2 linked regions of the Diceros bicornis minor genome follow. The protein of the gene in region 2 binds, or shares a complex with, the protein of the main gene of each other region. Links are inferred from orthologs where the notes say so. Each region holds a gene or a part of one and is shown on either strand. Other genes may lie near its edges.

Region 1 (7,846 bases), on a different chromosome or scaffold from region 2:
AGTCACAGTAGAAACAAAGCCAGTTATGAGAGAACTTACTGGAGAGCCCTCAAGTCACTTGAAGTGGATTTGCCTTGGCCAGGCCTATTGATGGGACTGGTAACAGCACCCCAGGAGCATCCCTAGCCCTGGCCAACCCCAAAGAGCCTGGAAAAGGTAACGTTTGGCTTCAAATCCATCCAGAATAAAATGCATAATAAATAAATGTTTCCAACTTGTGTTGCTTGAGAGTTTCCAGCTAAGCGTGGATGTAGCCTTCATGGTGCTCCCCAGAGTTCTCAGACGGAACCTTGCTTGATCGTCCAAAGGCTCTGCAGCCCACCTCCTGAGATCATCCCAGGTCACACTGAAGCATGCAGTGAGAGGGGAGGTAGAACAGAGAGGAAGACTGGTGAGAATCCCAGATCCAGTCCACTGTTTGCTGGATGGGTGAGCATGGAATCAGGTATTTATATCTTTGGTTTCAAGCAACTTGCCTTGAAGTCTTATGCCTTTGGAAGGGCGGCTTAGAGGAGTGACAGAGAAACAGACTGGAGTCCTGGATGAAGGATGTCCACACGGGCTCTCTTCTCTTGGAGACACCTGGGAGCCCAGGTTTCTTCCTTTGACTTTGGTCCTTGGGGGAAGAGAGGCCTTCAGGACATCAGCACCCAGGGGTGAGGTCCAGCTGCTGCAGCATGTCCTGCAGAGACCCCTGCAGCCTGCTCAGGGCCACCACCTCTGTGGAGTAGAGGGAGGCTTCCAGGACACCGCCCAGGCTCACCAACGTCTCCAGGCCCCTAGCCTGAGGCAAGGGGCAGCTCTTGGAGGAGGCCAGCAGGTGGAGAAGGTCCCGGAGGTTCTCCAGGTCATTAGATATTTGGATCACATTTCTGGAAGGCAGACTCGTAAGGATCTGTTGGTAGATCGCCAATGTCTGGTCCATCTTGGACAAACTTAGGACAGGGTGAAGCCCAGGAATGAAGTCCAAACCAGTGACCCTCTGTTTGGAGGAGACTGACTGCTGTGCAGGAGGAAGAGGGAGAGCAAGAGCTTAGCGAGGCGGGAGAGAGTGAATTCTGCAAAGCCCTCAGTATTTCCCACGAGCACGGAGGCTCACTTTCTTGGTTGCCTCCTTTCCCTCTTTGGCACCATCCTGGCCTAGGCCTTACTTCTTATGCCCAGGTGGCTGCCAAGCCTCCAAGCTGGCCTCCTGGCCTTCTGTCTTCCCGTCTTTCCCAAACCACCCTGCCTCCCACCTCCAGACCAAACTTCTCAGGTCGTTTCCTTCTCCAAATGGCCTCTGCTATAGAACCAGCCAGAGCTCCCTATTTCTTACTTAGTTTAGTCTCTACCTCAGGCATCTGAAGTCCTCTATAGCGCCCCCTCCCCAGCCATCCTCGTTCCCTTCCACCCCCTGCGGACTCCTCCCTCCCAATCAGGATCTCCATGGAGTCTCACCCCCTTAGGGGTCAAGGCTGTCCCCCCAGCAAGTGCCCCACCTCACTCCTCTGCTCCAGTAACTCTGGTTACCAGGAGGGTAACTCCCCTTCCCCCCTGCCCGCAGCACTCACTCCCTGCACCACACAGGTTGGGATGCTCTGGATCTATCACGTGCAGCCTTTCGGATGACTATTTTTAAAGCAAGGAGACTTAAGGGTTTCTCTGTATGAAATTCCCAAGACTATCTAGCTCTGAGCTGTCCCTGCTTCTGGCCACCTAACTTCTTCCTGGCTGCACAAGGCCACTGTGAGTCATCCACAGTAGCCAGGAGATGTGGAAGTCTCCAGATTGCTCCATGCAGGGTGAACAAGCAGGCTTTTAAGGCTGGGGGCTACCAAAAAACACAACTGCAAACCTTTAATGAGGGCACACTCTCTTCTGATTCTGCAGGGTGGGGCGGGGGTGGTGGGAGGTGTTTTCACTTGCTTTATCTAATTTAATCTCATAGCAACCTTGTGAGGACCTTACGATAGTCTCAATATCTTGATGATGAAACCAGGGCTTAAAGACATTGAGGATCCAGCTTAAGGTTTTACAGACAGAGAACAGAAGTGTGAAGATTCACACTTAGTCTCCCTAATTCCAAATACAGAACTCACCTGGGAAACGGCTGAAGGTCTAGATCTGTCAGCCCCAGAGCAAAGACCCAGGGGGCATTGACAGCTGTTTGCAGATACACAGAAGGTTGTATGTGAAAGAGGGTAGACTTGCTTTTCTGTGTGGCCTGACAGGCAGGACTAGCAGTAATCGGGGAAGCGGCACAGGGCCAGAGTTCAGCTCAACCAGGAAGACCGCCTACTGATAAGCACGTTCTAGAGATGGGATAGGCCCAGAGAGGATGCTGCTGGGGGTCTGGTCACCTACCAATGGAACACAAGGACTTTTATGTATCCTCTGGTTCTAGGCACTAGGATTCAAGGAAGTGAATCCTGGGATTCAGGTCGGGGAGGAAGGAGAGTAAGGAGGTGGCGGGAGACAGAGGGGAGAGGAAGAAAAGAGGCAGCTGCTCATGCAGTAGGGAGAAGTCAAGGCCACCATGGCCCCTACATGTTGCTGCACAGGCCTCAGCTAACCTCTGAGGTCCTGGTGTCCCCGTGGGCCAGCCACAGTTCTACTTCATCTCCCCAGACCCTCCCTACCGTGTGTGAAATGTCATTGATCCTGGTGACAATCGTCTTGATGAGGGTTTTGGTGTCATCCTGGACTTTTTGGATGGGCACAGCTTCAATGTAGAACAGATAGGGCCAAAGCCACAGGAATTGGTACAGCGGTCCACAATGCATTTTCCTTCCAGAATGTGCTTCTTGGTCCTGAAAACAGAAGGAACTATACATTGAAAATTGCTGATATCTCAGAAAACACCCCTATGCCATGACCAACCACATTACCAGATGTGGATAAAAATGAGATTTCTTTCTGCCCTGGCTATCATCTCCTCAGAGTCAAAGACAATTCATTATCTAGAAATACATTAATGAAATGCATTCTCTTGGGGAGATGCAAGGCTTGATCAATAAAACCACGATGAGGTGTGCTGTAGACCACAAAGCAATAAGCCAGGGTGTGAGCAAAGGGACATTGTGATGATGAAGTGACGCACTGTGTGCTTTAAGGAGGAGAATGGGCTTTTAAGGTCTGGTTTGAATCCAGCCCTTTACTAGCTGCATGACTTTAGGCATATCACATAGCTGCTAAAAACTCTACCTTCCACCCCTGCAACATACCTATCTCCAGGCTTCTACGAGGATCAAATTAGATAATGCACGTGAAAGAGCTTGAGAGGTGTTGTGAGACATACTCTATCACCACCCTCTTGTTAGAGATTATGTTACTTGTCCTCTCCATTACTCTCCCACAGCAGCCTGCTGATATCTCCATGATGGCATTTATCATTGCCTTTATTACTTCCTTTCTCTCTCACCGGGAGTGTGAAGCCAACCAGTACTTATGGGAGATCTGATAATATGTCAGATGCAGTGCTAGGCACCAAGGACATAATAGTGAACAACAGATGTTCTTAAGTTGCTTACAATTTAATAGGAGAGAGAAACAGGTAAACAGGCCATTCCAATACAGGAAGAAAGAGCTTTGCAAGAAAGACAAGTACAGGATATCACGGGTGTACAAAGGGGGCTCCCTGGAAGAGGTGTCGCCTGAGCAGGGTATTAAATACCGAGTAGGGCCGGCTCCGTGGCTTAGAGGTTAAGTGCGCGTGATCTGCTGCTGGTGGCCCAGGTTCGATCCCGGGCGCGCACCGATGCACCGCTTCTCCGGCCATGCTGAGGCCGCGCCCCACATGCAGCAACTAGAAGGATGTGCAGCTATGACATACAACTATGTAGTGGGGCTTTGGGGGAAAAAATAAATTAATTAAATTAAAAAAAAAAAAATTAAATACCGAGTAGGAGTTAGTAAGAGTAGAAAGTGGTTGCCATGACGGCCAAGAAAGCAGCTGGTGCAAAGGCATGGAGGCAGGAGAGAATGTATAACATGTCACTCAGAATATTTGAAACTTCCAAAGTCATGGAACCATGAATTCTAACATTAATAATACGCAGATCCTTGATTAAGCAGCAAATTTTTAATGAGATTCATGAGGCAAAAAGTAATACAGTTAAACGTACACGAGTCTGTGGCCAATGATCCACGCTAAGTATGTGTGGATGGGCCTGAAGCAATAATCAAATGTAAGTAAATATTGGCATGAAGGTTCTGGAGATGGCAAAAAGCTAATCTCTGCTTTTTGTGTTTTACCTGATCTAGGTCTTGATAAAAATAGGTAATACATTTTCTGTCCATAGGTGGCAATAGTAGTATAATCCATATAATGGCAATATAATAGAAATAAGCAGTCTGCTTATATATTATTTATAATGCTTGATCAAAGGTATGATTTTTATCTGAATTTTATAGAAAGGGAAAAATGAGACTCAAGAAGATGTGTTAATTGCCCGAAGTCAAACGGGTGAGTGGTAGAGCCGGATTCACACCCAGACATCCCAGGGGTGAATCCTGGGATTCAGAAGGGCTAGGTTGCTTCCTACTTGCCCCCCTCCCCCCAGTTTCTCTGGCCTTTAAGGCAAAGCCCGAGTTACAAACCACTCCAATGCCCGACTGAGGGTACGTCTTGGGACCATGGCACTTGGGAACTAATACCTGCTCTAGGAGGAAGCTATGAGATGGCACCCCCATATCAACTTCAAATATGAAAAATACTAAGGAGTTTGGGAGGGGGCACTTCAGATGTTTTTGTGCTTGTTTTTTCTCTTAAAAGTTAAAACTCCCTCTATTAACTACTCATTACCTGAGTGAACATTTCCACCATGTGTTTGTGGAATGCAGTTAAATAGTGCTAACTCCCTAGTAGGATTCCATGAAACCCTAGCAAAGGTGGAAAGCATAGTGGTTAGGCCCCAAGGCTTCAGCAGCGGGCTCTGCCCTCATTAGCTGTGTCTCTGGGCAAGACACTTAACTTCCCTAAAGCATCTGTTCCCATCAGTAAAATGGAACTCATAACACCACCCGGCTCTAAAAAGTAAACGAGATGAACCAGTAGAGCCCCTGCCCATTGAGTGTGTGGGCCAAAGTGTGGAGGTAATGTCAGATTTTTTTTAGTTGTGTAATTACTGGGCAGGGCTTGAAACACTCAGGCAACACTACCTGTAGCCAACCCTGAATCTAGCATTTGGCCTTTTGCCTCTCCTGGACCATCTCAACAGGGTGCCTGGTATTTCTGGGCCTTCCTCCTGCAGCAAAAGCTTGAGCAATATCCTTTTCTAGGATTCATGAGTTAATGACACCCTCCTTCCTAAGAGAATTTATTACCAGGTTAACTCTGGTCATAGTCACTCTCACATAATGGCCACCCTGTAATACCTAAATGGAAAAACAGTTTTATAAGCCCCCTCTATCACCACTGATAATATGCTTCAGTGGATGCTGAAAATGAATTGCAGTTCCTTGAAACACGGGATTGAGAAGCTGCTGCTGTCTGCCTAAGAGGAGAGGCCAGGTTTAGGGGAGCCCCATGGGAGACTGCCGAGAGAACGTGTAACAGGTCCATCTGAGACAAAAGTGATGGAGACAACCTGGCCCACCAACACACACAACACATAACACACATGCTCACACAACACCCACATCATACATGCACATACACACACACACCAACACACCTAACCCTTTCAGTAGAGGCTGCCTGCTAGTTGTCCCCAATATGTATTCTTCCCAAGTAATAGAACATCCAAGTTCAGATAGGGATGTGGCCTCCAGAATAAATACTATATTTCCCAGTTTCTCCCAACTAGGTATGGCCACGTGACTAAATTCTAGCCAATTAAATAAAAGCAGAAGTGCCATGCGGCAGCTCTCATGTTGGATGACTTTGCCTCTTCCTTTTTCATCCCTTCCTCCATCCTGATGCCTGCGGTAGCCAGCATTCTGGCGCCATCTTGGATCATGAGGATGTGGGCCTCACCTTATGAATGGAAGAGTAAGGAGCTGGAGGAGCCCAGGTCCCAGAGGACTTCGTGGAGCCGAGATGCCATACTGGTCTGGACTGCCTATCTCTGGACTTGTGCTGTGTGTGTGAGAGACATAACCTCCGTCTTGACTAAGCCACTGTTATTTTGGGTCTCTGCTAAATGCAGGCAAACTTAATGCTAACCAATTTATACAGCCGGACACGGGCATCAGAAAAGAGTGATCATCAAGTCTTCCTTGGTTCACCTGAGTGTCAGTACCTGACGTGGCCTGGGCATGGCTGGAGAAGGTGGGCGGGATGACTGGTAAGAGCCAGGGTTTAGGGACCAGGGAGGAGGGATAATTCAAGACAGCAACTACAACTTCATTGAGCAGCACCTGGCACATGACAGTTACTACGTATTTGATGGCTAACAGCTAACATGTATTGATCGCCCACTGTGGGCCAAGTACAGAGATGAAAGAGACATGGAACCACAGGAAATTGGAAATCAGGAGTGAGGAGGGCTGGGCTGAAGACTGGTGGCTTTCCCAGGAAGCCCAGATAGAATACCACAGTATTTGACGTTGTCAGCTACTTATATATATTATTTGTTGAAAATAAGAGTAAAGAACAAAACCGTGCTCTTAAACAACTGATTTAAGAACTTACCTAGTTAACTACAATGCAAGGAAGAGCATTTAAACAGATAAAATAGGGGCCGGCCCTGTGGCTTAGCGGTTAAGTGCGTGCGCTCCACTGCTGGCGGCCCGGGTTCGGATCCCGGGCGCGCACTGACGCACCGCTTCTCCGGCCATGCTGAGGCTGCGTCCCACATACAGCAACTAGAAGGATGTGGAACTATGACATACAACTATCTACTGGGGCTTTGGGGGGAAAATAAATAAATAAAGTTTAAAAAAAAAACTGCTACAATTCAATAATAAAAAAAGGCAAACAATTCAGTTAAAAAAAACAGATAAAATGTCTTGGGTAACTCAGGGGAGAGAGTCGTGCATAAAATCATGAGTTCTAGAGTTTAGCAGAGCTATGTTTGAGGTGGAGTATAGGACTTTGGAAAGTTTGCTAACCTCTCTGAGACTCAGTTTTCTTAGCTGTAAAACAGGGATGATACAAATCATAATTTCCACCCACAGCTGTTAAGCGGATGAAATGAGATAATGCATGTGAAGTGCTAGCTCTGTGCCTGGCACGTGGCCATCACCAATGCATGTTAGCTGTTATCATTGTTATTTCCAGCTAAGGAATCAAGGAGGCATCTTGGAGGAGGTGGCATTTGATAAGGGCCTGGGGAATGGGGAGAAATTGGGTTTGTGAAGGTGGAGGAGACAGGCAGTCCCGGTAGTCAGTGAAGAGGACAGTGGGCTCCAGAGACGGCGGCACACAGCTGGCATGGGAGGTGTGATGGGCGAGGAGGTGGGGAGGCATTGGGCTGTGAGGGCCAGGTAGAGAGGCTAGGCTTCTTTCTGCGGAAGTGAGGAGCTCTGACTGCTTCCAGGCAAACGATTTCAGCCCAGGTGACAAGAAGAATGGTGATGAAAATTGGGAAAAGCACTTGGAGATGTCTGGGAATGAGGGTTTGAAACGTGCTGCTTTGCTGGTCCTAGTGGGACCTCAGGTGGACCCATCCAGTTGACAGTTGGGATCAAGGGTCTCAGTTCAGGAAGAAAAGGCTGCAGAGGTAGACCCAGGAGTGTTGGAGCTGCCGGCAGGGGTGAGTGGAGAGAGCTGAAGAGGGAGGAATGGGGAGGGAGAAAGGCAGCTGTCAGCCACCTGCCTGGGCCGCAAAAGCCTTTTCTCTCTAGAAGTTTCCAAAGAGGTTTTAAACATTTAGGAGCTGTCATTTTCTAAGCTGAACCACTGGAATGTTGATACGACATC
Region 2 (7,891 bases):
AGAGAAGTCAAGGCTTAAGCTATCATTTTGGAGTTATCAGTATACAAATACAGAGATTGCATGAAATCATCAAAGAGTGTAGAGAGAAGAGAGCTCCCAGGGACTAAAGCTTAAGGCATTCTATGGTTAAAACCTCTAAGAGAAGAGAGACCAGCAAAGGAGACAGACAGGAGCGGCCAGTGAAGGAGGAAAATCAAGAGTGGTGTCCTGGGAGTCAATGAGGAAATATTACCAAGAACACAGAGCGATAACTGTGACAATGCCACCAATAGGTGAAGTAAGATCAACACTGACAACGGACTATTGGATTTAGGAAAGGGGATGTCACTGGTGACCACAACAGGAACGGCTTTGGCAGAGAACTGAAAACAAAAGATTGATAGGAATGGGTTTGAGAGAGAATGTAAAGAGCTGAACTGATGATAGGGAATACAGACAACTCTTTTCAAAAGTTTTTGCTTTAAAAGGGAGCAAAGAAATGGCTTAATCTCACAAACATAATGTTAAGCAAAAGAATCTATGAAAGAATGCCTCCTATATTCATATAAGATTTTTTTTAAGGTAAAACTAAACATGAACAGGAAGAAACAAGCAAGAGGTTTCTGGGTATTGGCATGCTGTCTTACCTGTGTGGTGAATAATGGGGTATTTGCCTTATAATTATCTGTTACAACAATTTGCTATGTTATTTGTCAACAAGTACATTTGTTTTATGTACCTCTTACCCCTGTATATGTCATAGTACAAAGTGTTAAAAAAAATTAAAGATTAATATGATCATGCGTGTGAAAAAATAGATAATATCATCACTGAATCACAGAAGTTTTAAAAAGTATTTGAGAAGGAATATTCCAAGTTATAAGCAAACCAAACTTAAATTGAAACTCCAAAAGGTTATATGTACTAGGTCTGGCCAGTAGGGGAACCTTGGTGCCTTTCTGATTTAATTAAAAGCGGAATTTGTAAATCGCATAAAATCTTAAGAATTAGAGCAGATTGTAAGCCCTTTTCTTCATTTTTAACTCCACAGGATATATTTTTTTAGTGTGTGTGCGTGGCTCTCAGTATGAAAAATGCACTACAGTGTCTGCCAAGACAATTCTTTTTTTCCTGGATATTTTTAAGTTTTATTTCCAAGACCCCCCCACCCTGAGATATTGCACTTCACAAACACAAACCATTTGGTTATATAACAGTGACCTAAGTATGAAGACATGACTGTTTCTTCTCAGTAAATTCATTACAAAAGCTTCTGCCAACCCTGATGACGCTCCCACACCATGAATGAGTTGGCTGTGGACCGTGAGTGGTCAGATCCATCCACTATTTTCGGTTGTTTTCCAGCGAGCACCTAGAAGCCAGGGCATTGAAGTTCCACTACTCTCTGTTCATTCAGCACCCAATTTACTTAACTCTCGGCATCTGTTTCAAAGGGGATGATCGTCTACTTCACCAGAGAATACGAGGCAAGACAAATTCCAGCCCAAAGGAAAAGGCAATGAAAATTAGTTTAAATATGTTCATTAAAAGTACTTCAAATCCATTCCACTCTCCCAAACTGCGTACACAGCACACACTGGGTGGAAACACCTTATTTTATTTTAGATCAAAGCCACCAAAATGAGCCAGAGATGCTTCTAAACCTCTCCAAACTACTGATGACTAGGTCTCAAATAATTTTGAATTACTAGTAACAACAAAAGCTATTCGAACATTTTGTCTGCTCAACAAGCCAACTGTTGTTTGTTGTCTGTTTTTGATCAAAAGGAAATAAAAGGTTCACTGACACTTTATAGTACACACTTCTTGTACAACTTCGTGTGTGTGTCAATTCCTAATTTCTGGTTTATCTGTTTAGTTAACCTCTGCTATTTTCTGGGATTCATTCCAAGAACTGAAATGCATTACTAAAATTGGCATCTCTGCCATCGAGCTTAATTTCGGAGAGGCTCTGAAGTGGTCTGAAACCATTTTTTTAATATTCTGCACACAACTTTATGCTAAAAAGTAAGACACTGTTCAAAAGCAGTACTTGACAGGAAAGGTGCAATTTTTGTTTTCCTCCAGAACAATTTGTATTTCCTCCAAATGTACAATACTGAAAGAGAATAAGTATTATGCTAAAGACACGTTTTTGTTGCAGTGATGCAAATACTGGCTTCAAGTTGAACATGATTCTTTAAGGTAGAGTGATCTAAATATTTACATGGAAACTATATATTTCTGAAATCTTTTATGAGTGTTTTTAACTTTGGGTTGGAAAACCCTAAAAGCATAAGTCATAAACACATGTAAACAAAATGCCAAGATCTATATAGATTTTTTTCAATTTCATGAAATTATGAATCTAGCAATGTTTTAACATGTTAAAGAGTTAAAGAATTATAAATTTTTAAGTTGGGAAACATCTCGGATCTATTAAAAGGCCCTCAGAATCTTAATCCAACCCTCTAATTTGACAGATGAGGAAACAGGAGGCCCAGAGAGGTTAAGTTAATACAGCTGTTGTGGATAATAAAGGGCAAATCATACCAAAACCCAGACATTCACCTCCAAGTCCAGGGCTCTGAAAGAGTATTTGTTTCATAATACTTATGGAAATAAAGGTTAACGGAGGACACTCCAGGCAACCCCTCAATATAAGGAACTCCCTCAGGCTTCCAGGAGCCAGACTCATCTTCTATTTGCAAACACACATCCTAGCAATAGCACCAGCAATGATCAGTTTCTCAGACGGCCTCCTCATACCCGGGGTATCCAAAGTGCCTCCTCAGTTGGGTCTCTTTTTCTCACCTCTACAAACCCCTTTCAATGAGCGCTTTGGAGGAGACTGGGTTTTGTTCCGTTTTTTAAATTTGCTTGGGGAGAGCAGGGGAGGGTGGAAAACAGAGGCTCAGCTCTAAACCTACAGCACAAGTTTTTTCGTCTGTCATCCAAACCAACAAATCCTTCCTCCGGGCCCCAGGGCTTACTGGTTTATGTCGCCGTCCCTGTAGTTTCCAAAGTAGGAAGGAGACCTGGAAAAGAAGTTGCCCGGGTGGCACGTCCTTTCGGTGGCGCTCAGCAGGTGCGCGCCCAGGCTCGGCGGGCTGCCCTCAGCCGCGCGCCCCGACCCTCCTGCCCCGGGAGCCTCCCGATCCCCGGCCGCCCGCCGGGCTCTGGCCCCTCTGGTGGCGCCGCCGGGCGGGCTCCGGACTCCCGGTCCCCAAGTGGCCCGCGGGCTCCGCGCGGCTCCGCGCGCCCCAGCGCCCGCTCCCCGAGCCGCCGGGAGCGGGACGAGGAGGCGGGAGCGGGAGGAGAGAGAAGGGGCCCACCTGGATGCCGGTCCCACGCGGGCGGAAGGCAGAGATGGCGGCGGCACGCGGCTCGGGCACCTGCGTCGCTCGCGCTCGGGCGGCCGTGGCTCTGCGGTGCGGCGGCTCCAAACTCCTCGCCAAGGTGCCGGGCAACTCTCCGGAGAGAGGAGGGCAGCGGAGGGCGGGAGGCGGGGCGGGGGGGCGCGGGGAGAAGGAGGGGAGAGGGAGGGAAGAGCCGGGGCCGCCCGCGCGCCCCGCGCCCGCCGCCACCGCCCCGGGGCGGGAGGAGCGGACCCCGAGCGGCGGGGGCGGTCGCGCAGGTGACCGGGGGCGGCGGCGGGCAGTGCCTGGGGAGGAGAAGCGGGGCGCTCGGGAAGGGGACCCTGCCCGCCCGGAGGCCGAGAGCCGAGGCGAACCCAGCGGGGAGGCGGCGCCGCTACTGCACCCGGCGGTCAGCTGCAGCGCGCCCACCTGAGCCCGTGGTTCCCAGGCTCTGGGCCAGGCACTGGGCTTCCCTCTGATCCTCCCACTTCCAGACCTCCAGGTCTCTGCTGCATCCGGTGTGCACAATGCTACGATAAAGATTGCTATAATTGGGAGGAGGGGGAAAGGAAAGCGAAATGGAAAAGACCAGAAGTAGCGAGGTAGTGAGTTTCCTGTCAAGGATGTTTCAGCCAAGCATTTTGGTCGTGCTTGTCAGAAAGGCTGAAGAGGGCCCTCATGCATCTAGTGGGGGTTGGACTAAATGGCCACTTCTCTTTCAATCTTGAAATTCAATGGCTTTTGACATAGCAAGGAAAAAAAAATGAAAATTAAGAAATCCATCCTTGAACAGTCTGATTCCAATCCCAGTAATAGACATTTTCTTGCTCTCCACTAGAAATGTTCACTCATTGATTTGCTTCTTTATTAATACATTTTTAATGAGGACCTACTGTGTGCCAGACAATATGCTAGGTGGGGTTGTCATGTGCCTTGAGCTTGAAGTTATGACAGACAGACATGCAAGTATTCATATAATTACCACTCAGGATGGGTGATTTAAAGGAAACCAACAGGATGAGGAAGAAAGAATAAAGGGGAGTGGACATTCTCTAGATAGAGTGGATGGTTAATTTTCAAAGGTCTCTATAAGTGAACTCACCTAACACCCTCATAGGAAGAGACATCAAAGGCATAGAGAAAAAGCAGTCCAGAGATGGGCAGGGACGGAAGCCGTGCCTCCTGGCTCCCTGGACCAGCCACCTTGCCATCTTGTGAAGCTTTGTAAATGGAACCTTTCCCCCACAGGAATATCCTCCCAGGACCAGTGTCAATTTTCTGAAGAGCGTTTAGATCTCCAGACCACTTATCAAGGCCACTTTATTCAGAAATTTCATATTTGTGCACTGAATGGACTTTCTGGGGCATCTGTGTAGGCAAAAATAACCCAGAAGCACTAACCTTTGGGTTTTCATCAAACCTCAAAAAACAGCCAAATGTCTCCATTGGATCAAGATAAGAGTTGGAGCAGAGATACTGACTTCCCCAAATTATTATGAAATAAAACAACACAACAGAATCCTTAATTAGATAATCAGTATGAACTAACACATTAGTTTCCTAGGGCTGCCTTGAAAAATGACTACAGACTTCATGCTTAAAACAGCAGAAATTTATTCTCTCCCTGTTCTGGAGGCCAGAAATCCAAAATCAATGTGCATCAGGTCCACACTCCCTCCCAGAGCTCTAGGAGAGAATCCTTCCTTGCCTCGTCCAGCTTCTGGTGGCGTCAGAAATTCATTGCCTTGCCGCTGCATTACTCCAGTCTCTGCCTTCCGTCTTCACACGGCCTTCTCCTTTGTGTCTGTTGTCTTCTCTTCTGTCTACCGTAAGGACATTTGTCATTGGATTTAGGGACCATCCAGATAATCCAGGATGATCTCAGCTCAGATCCTTATTTAATTACATCTGCAAAGACCCTTTATCCAAATGAGGTCACATTCACAGGTTCTGGGGTTTAGGATGTGGACCTATTTTGGGGGGGAACCACCATTCAACCCACTAAAGCTAGTAAACTAATAGGGACAAAAGTCATTGTCTACTGTGGTATCAGGGTGTCATTCCAACACCATTATTCAAAATTATATTGATACTAAGTATAACTAATTATTTTGTTGTAAACTACTAAAAATAAGTATCATTAAACCTGGGCATTCTGAGGAAAAACTACCATAAGGAAAAGAAGTACAGAGGCCCAAGCCTTCAGTTCATGTTTGAGTCACAGGGGATACTTGAAGGCCAAGGGTGGCTCCTCAGAAGCTACTGTTGTTACATGAATGCAGAGGTACCCCCCACATCCATGTGTATGGATTTCTGATAATGTGATCCACTGCTAAGTGTCCGCCAGGCGCCGGGCTCTGAGTCAGGAGCTCTCAGCGGGCTTACATGCCAGGTCAGGGGGCACTTTTGAATCTCATTCCCTTTGGCACAGATATGCCTGCTGCATACCTGAAGCGTGATAAAGAGTTGTCAAATGAATAGGTGAGTAAAAGAAATCATTACCAATCAGGTAGGCAATTATTACCACACTGGAGAACATCTATAATAAGAAGATAGGATTTATTAGAGCAAAACAGATTAACACCCTGACTCATTCAGTATTTTCTCGAGTGAGAGAAAAATCCTTAAAAGGAAACCTTTGATTTAAAAAAGAAAATAATGAGATCACCTATCTTCTCTTTTTAAAAAAAAATCAATAATATGCCTATTTGCACAGATACAGATCCTGCTGGGAACAATCAATCATGACTGAAGTTATAGTTACTTAAAGTGAATAAAATATTTTGTCCAAGTATTTCACTTGATATTTCAAAAACATAAACATTATTCAACTATTAATGTCATAATATTGATACAACATTTTTTTTTAAGTTTTTCTTTTTTTCCCCCCCTGGGAAAGATTCACTCTAGCTAACATCTGTTGCCAATCTTCCCCTCCTTCATTTTCCTCCCCAAAGCCCCAGTACATAGCTGTATATTCTAGTTGTAAGTCCTAGTTCTTCTACATGAGGCACCGCCACAGCATGGCTACTGACAGAGTGGTGTGGTTCTGTGCCGGGAACTGGCCTGGGCAGCCGAAGCAGAGGGCGCTGAACTAACCACTGGGCCATCAGGGCTGGCTCTGATGCAACATTTCTTGAAACTCTTTACAAACAATGATATCAGTGACTCAACTCTCTTCTGGTTCACCTCTTCCCTCTTTGACTTTCTTTCTCACTCTTCCATTCTTTCAGTTTTAAACGATCAACCAATATGTTAATAACTACCAAACTGAATCTCATTCATCAACTTATTAGGGTCACGGGCCCATGCCTGAACCAGTCACAGTGGCCAATGAGTTGGAATATGATGACCATCCAGGTGTGAGTCACCTGTGCACTCCTGGAAAACAGGGAGCGGGAGGAAAGTTGACCTCACCCTAACCAAAGAATTTAGAGTGGGGGGAGAGTGGTACCCCAAAATAAAATGAAGGTGCTCTTACTGAAGGGGAAGTGGACAAAAAGCACAGATATCCACTACAATAGAACTCAAAAAGGTTTGTTGTTAACTGAATATAGTTTTAATTAAACTATTAAACTTCACCCTCTCTATGGTGTTCTAAATGTTTTCTAGAAAGTTGTTTTAAATGAAATGATAATTATAAATATTGATTACATGTTTAATTACTACAGAAATCTTAAAAATTTACAATTATGAAGGACTTTGAAAAATGCTTTTAGATGCGTCGGAGGCCATATAGTCAAGCTGTGGGCTCTGGAATCTGATTGTGTGAGCTTTTACGCACATTTATTATGAGACCTTGAATAAGTTCTTACCCTCTTTCTGTCTCAGTTTCCTTTTTTGTAAAATGGAGAAGATAATAATCACCTCTCTGAAATGTCATGAAACGTAAGGAGATAATAACTATGACTTTAGAATAGTACTTCTTACCTAGTACTCTACTATGTTTGCTCATTATTAATCTCACTCAGTCTTCACAGCATCCCTGGAAACCATTTCGGGTAGTTGTACTTTGATTATTTATTTTTCCATTAATAGATAATCAGTATCTATTATGTATCAGGTACCATTACCAAGATAAACAGCATGGGTCCACGAGGAGTCAAGTGAGGATTCCCATAGTTCAACCAGGTCAGTGTAGGCACCACATGCGGGGGAGCAGAGCATGGAAGGAAAGGACAGAGGAGAAAAGGCCCGAGACCTTAGGGGACTGCAAGAAGTGTAGCTAGAGCCCAGGGTATGTTCAGAAGAGTGTACCTGGAAAAGGACGTAGAAGTCTAATAGGAAGAACTCTGAAGGTCATGTGGATTTTGAAAGTCGTTTGGACTTTAACCTCTATGAGTGATGACATGTTGGAAACTTTTAGACTCAGGAATTACGTTTTCAGATTTGTAGGAAGGAAAGCACATCCTGAGTGTGTGAAGTATGGCAGAAAAAGAAAAGAATAAGCCTAGAGCCAGGGATAACAGCTAAGAAACTAGGCATTCTCAGTAGATCAGTGCTTCTCAAACTTCAATGTGCAACTGAATCCAACTAGAGATATTCAAAACACA

What was found. The genes of interacting proteins can lie anywhere in the genome.
Region 1: the proteins of LEPR (region 2) and LEP are in contact, whole or in part, in a crystal structure (PDB 7Z3R), measured with the Mus musculus proteins. The link is inferred for Diceros bicornis minor from reciprocal best matches to the Homo sapiens genes LEPR and LEP. Residues at the interface, in NP_666258.2 of Mus musculus: Tyr439, Leu440, Thr441, Arg466, Ser468, Leu469, Tyr470, Gln499, Pro500, Ile501, Phe502, Leu503, Leu504, Ser505, Val560, Phe561, Glu563, Asn564; in NP_032519.1 of Mus musculus: Lys26, Val27, Asp30, Thr33, Leu34, Lys36, Thr37, Thr40, Arg41, Gln92, Gln96, Asn99, Asp100, Glu102, Asn103, Asp106, Leu107, Leu110.

The regions. Positions count from the first base shown.
Region 1 is NC_080742.1:77,266,944-77,274,789, reverse strand, and holds LEP (leptin), read right to left. Parts: upstream 2,766-7,846; coding exon 2,622-2,765; intron 1,004-2,621; coding exon 644-1,003; downstream 1-643. UniProt on the Homo sapiens protein: Key player in the regulation of energy balance and body weight control. Once released into the circulation, has central and peripheral effects by binding LEPR, found in many tissues, which results in the activation of several major signaling pathways.
Region 2 is NC_080743.1:4,667,364-4,675,254, reverse strand, and holds the start of LEPR (leptin receptor), read right to left. Parts: upstream 3,023-7,891; 5' UTR 2,973-3,022; intron 1-2,972. UniProt on the Homo sapiens protein: Receptor for hormone LEP/leptin. On ligand binding, mediates LEP central and peripheral effects through the activation of different signaling pathways such as JAK2/STAT3 and MAPK cascade/FOS.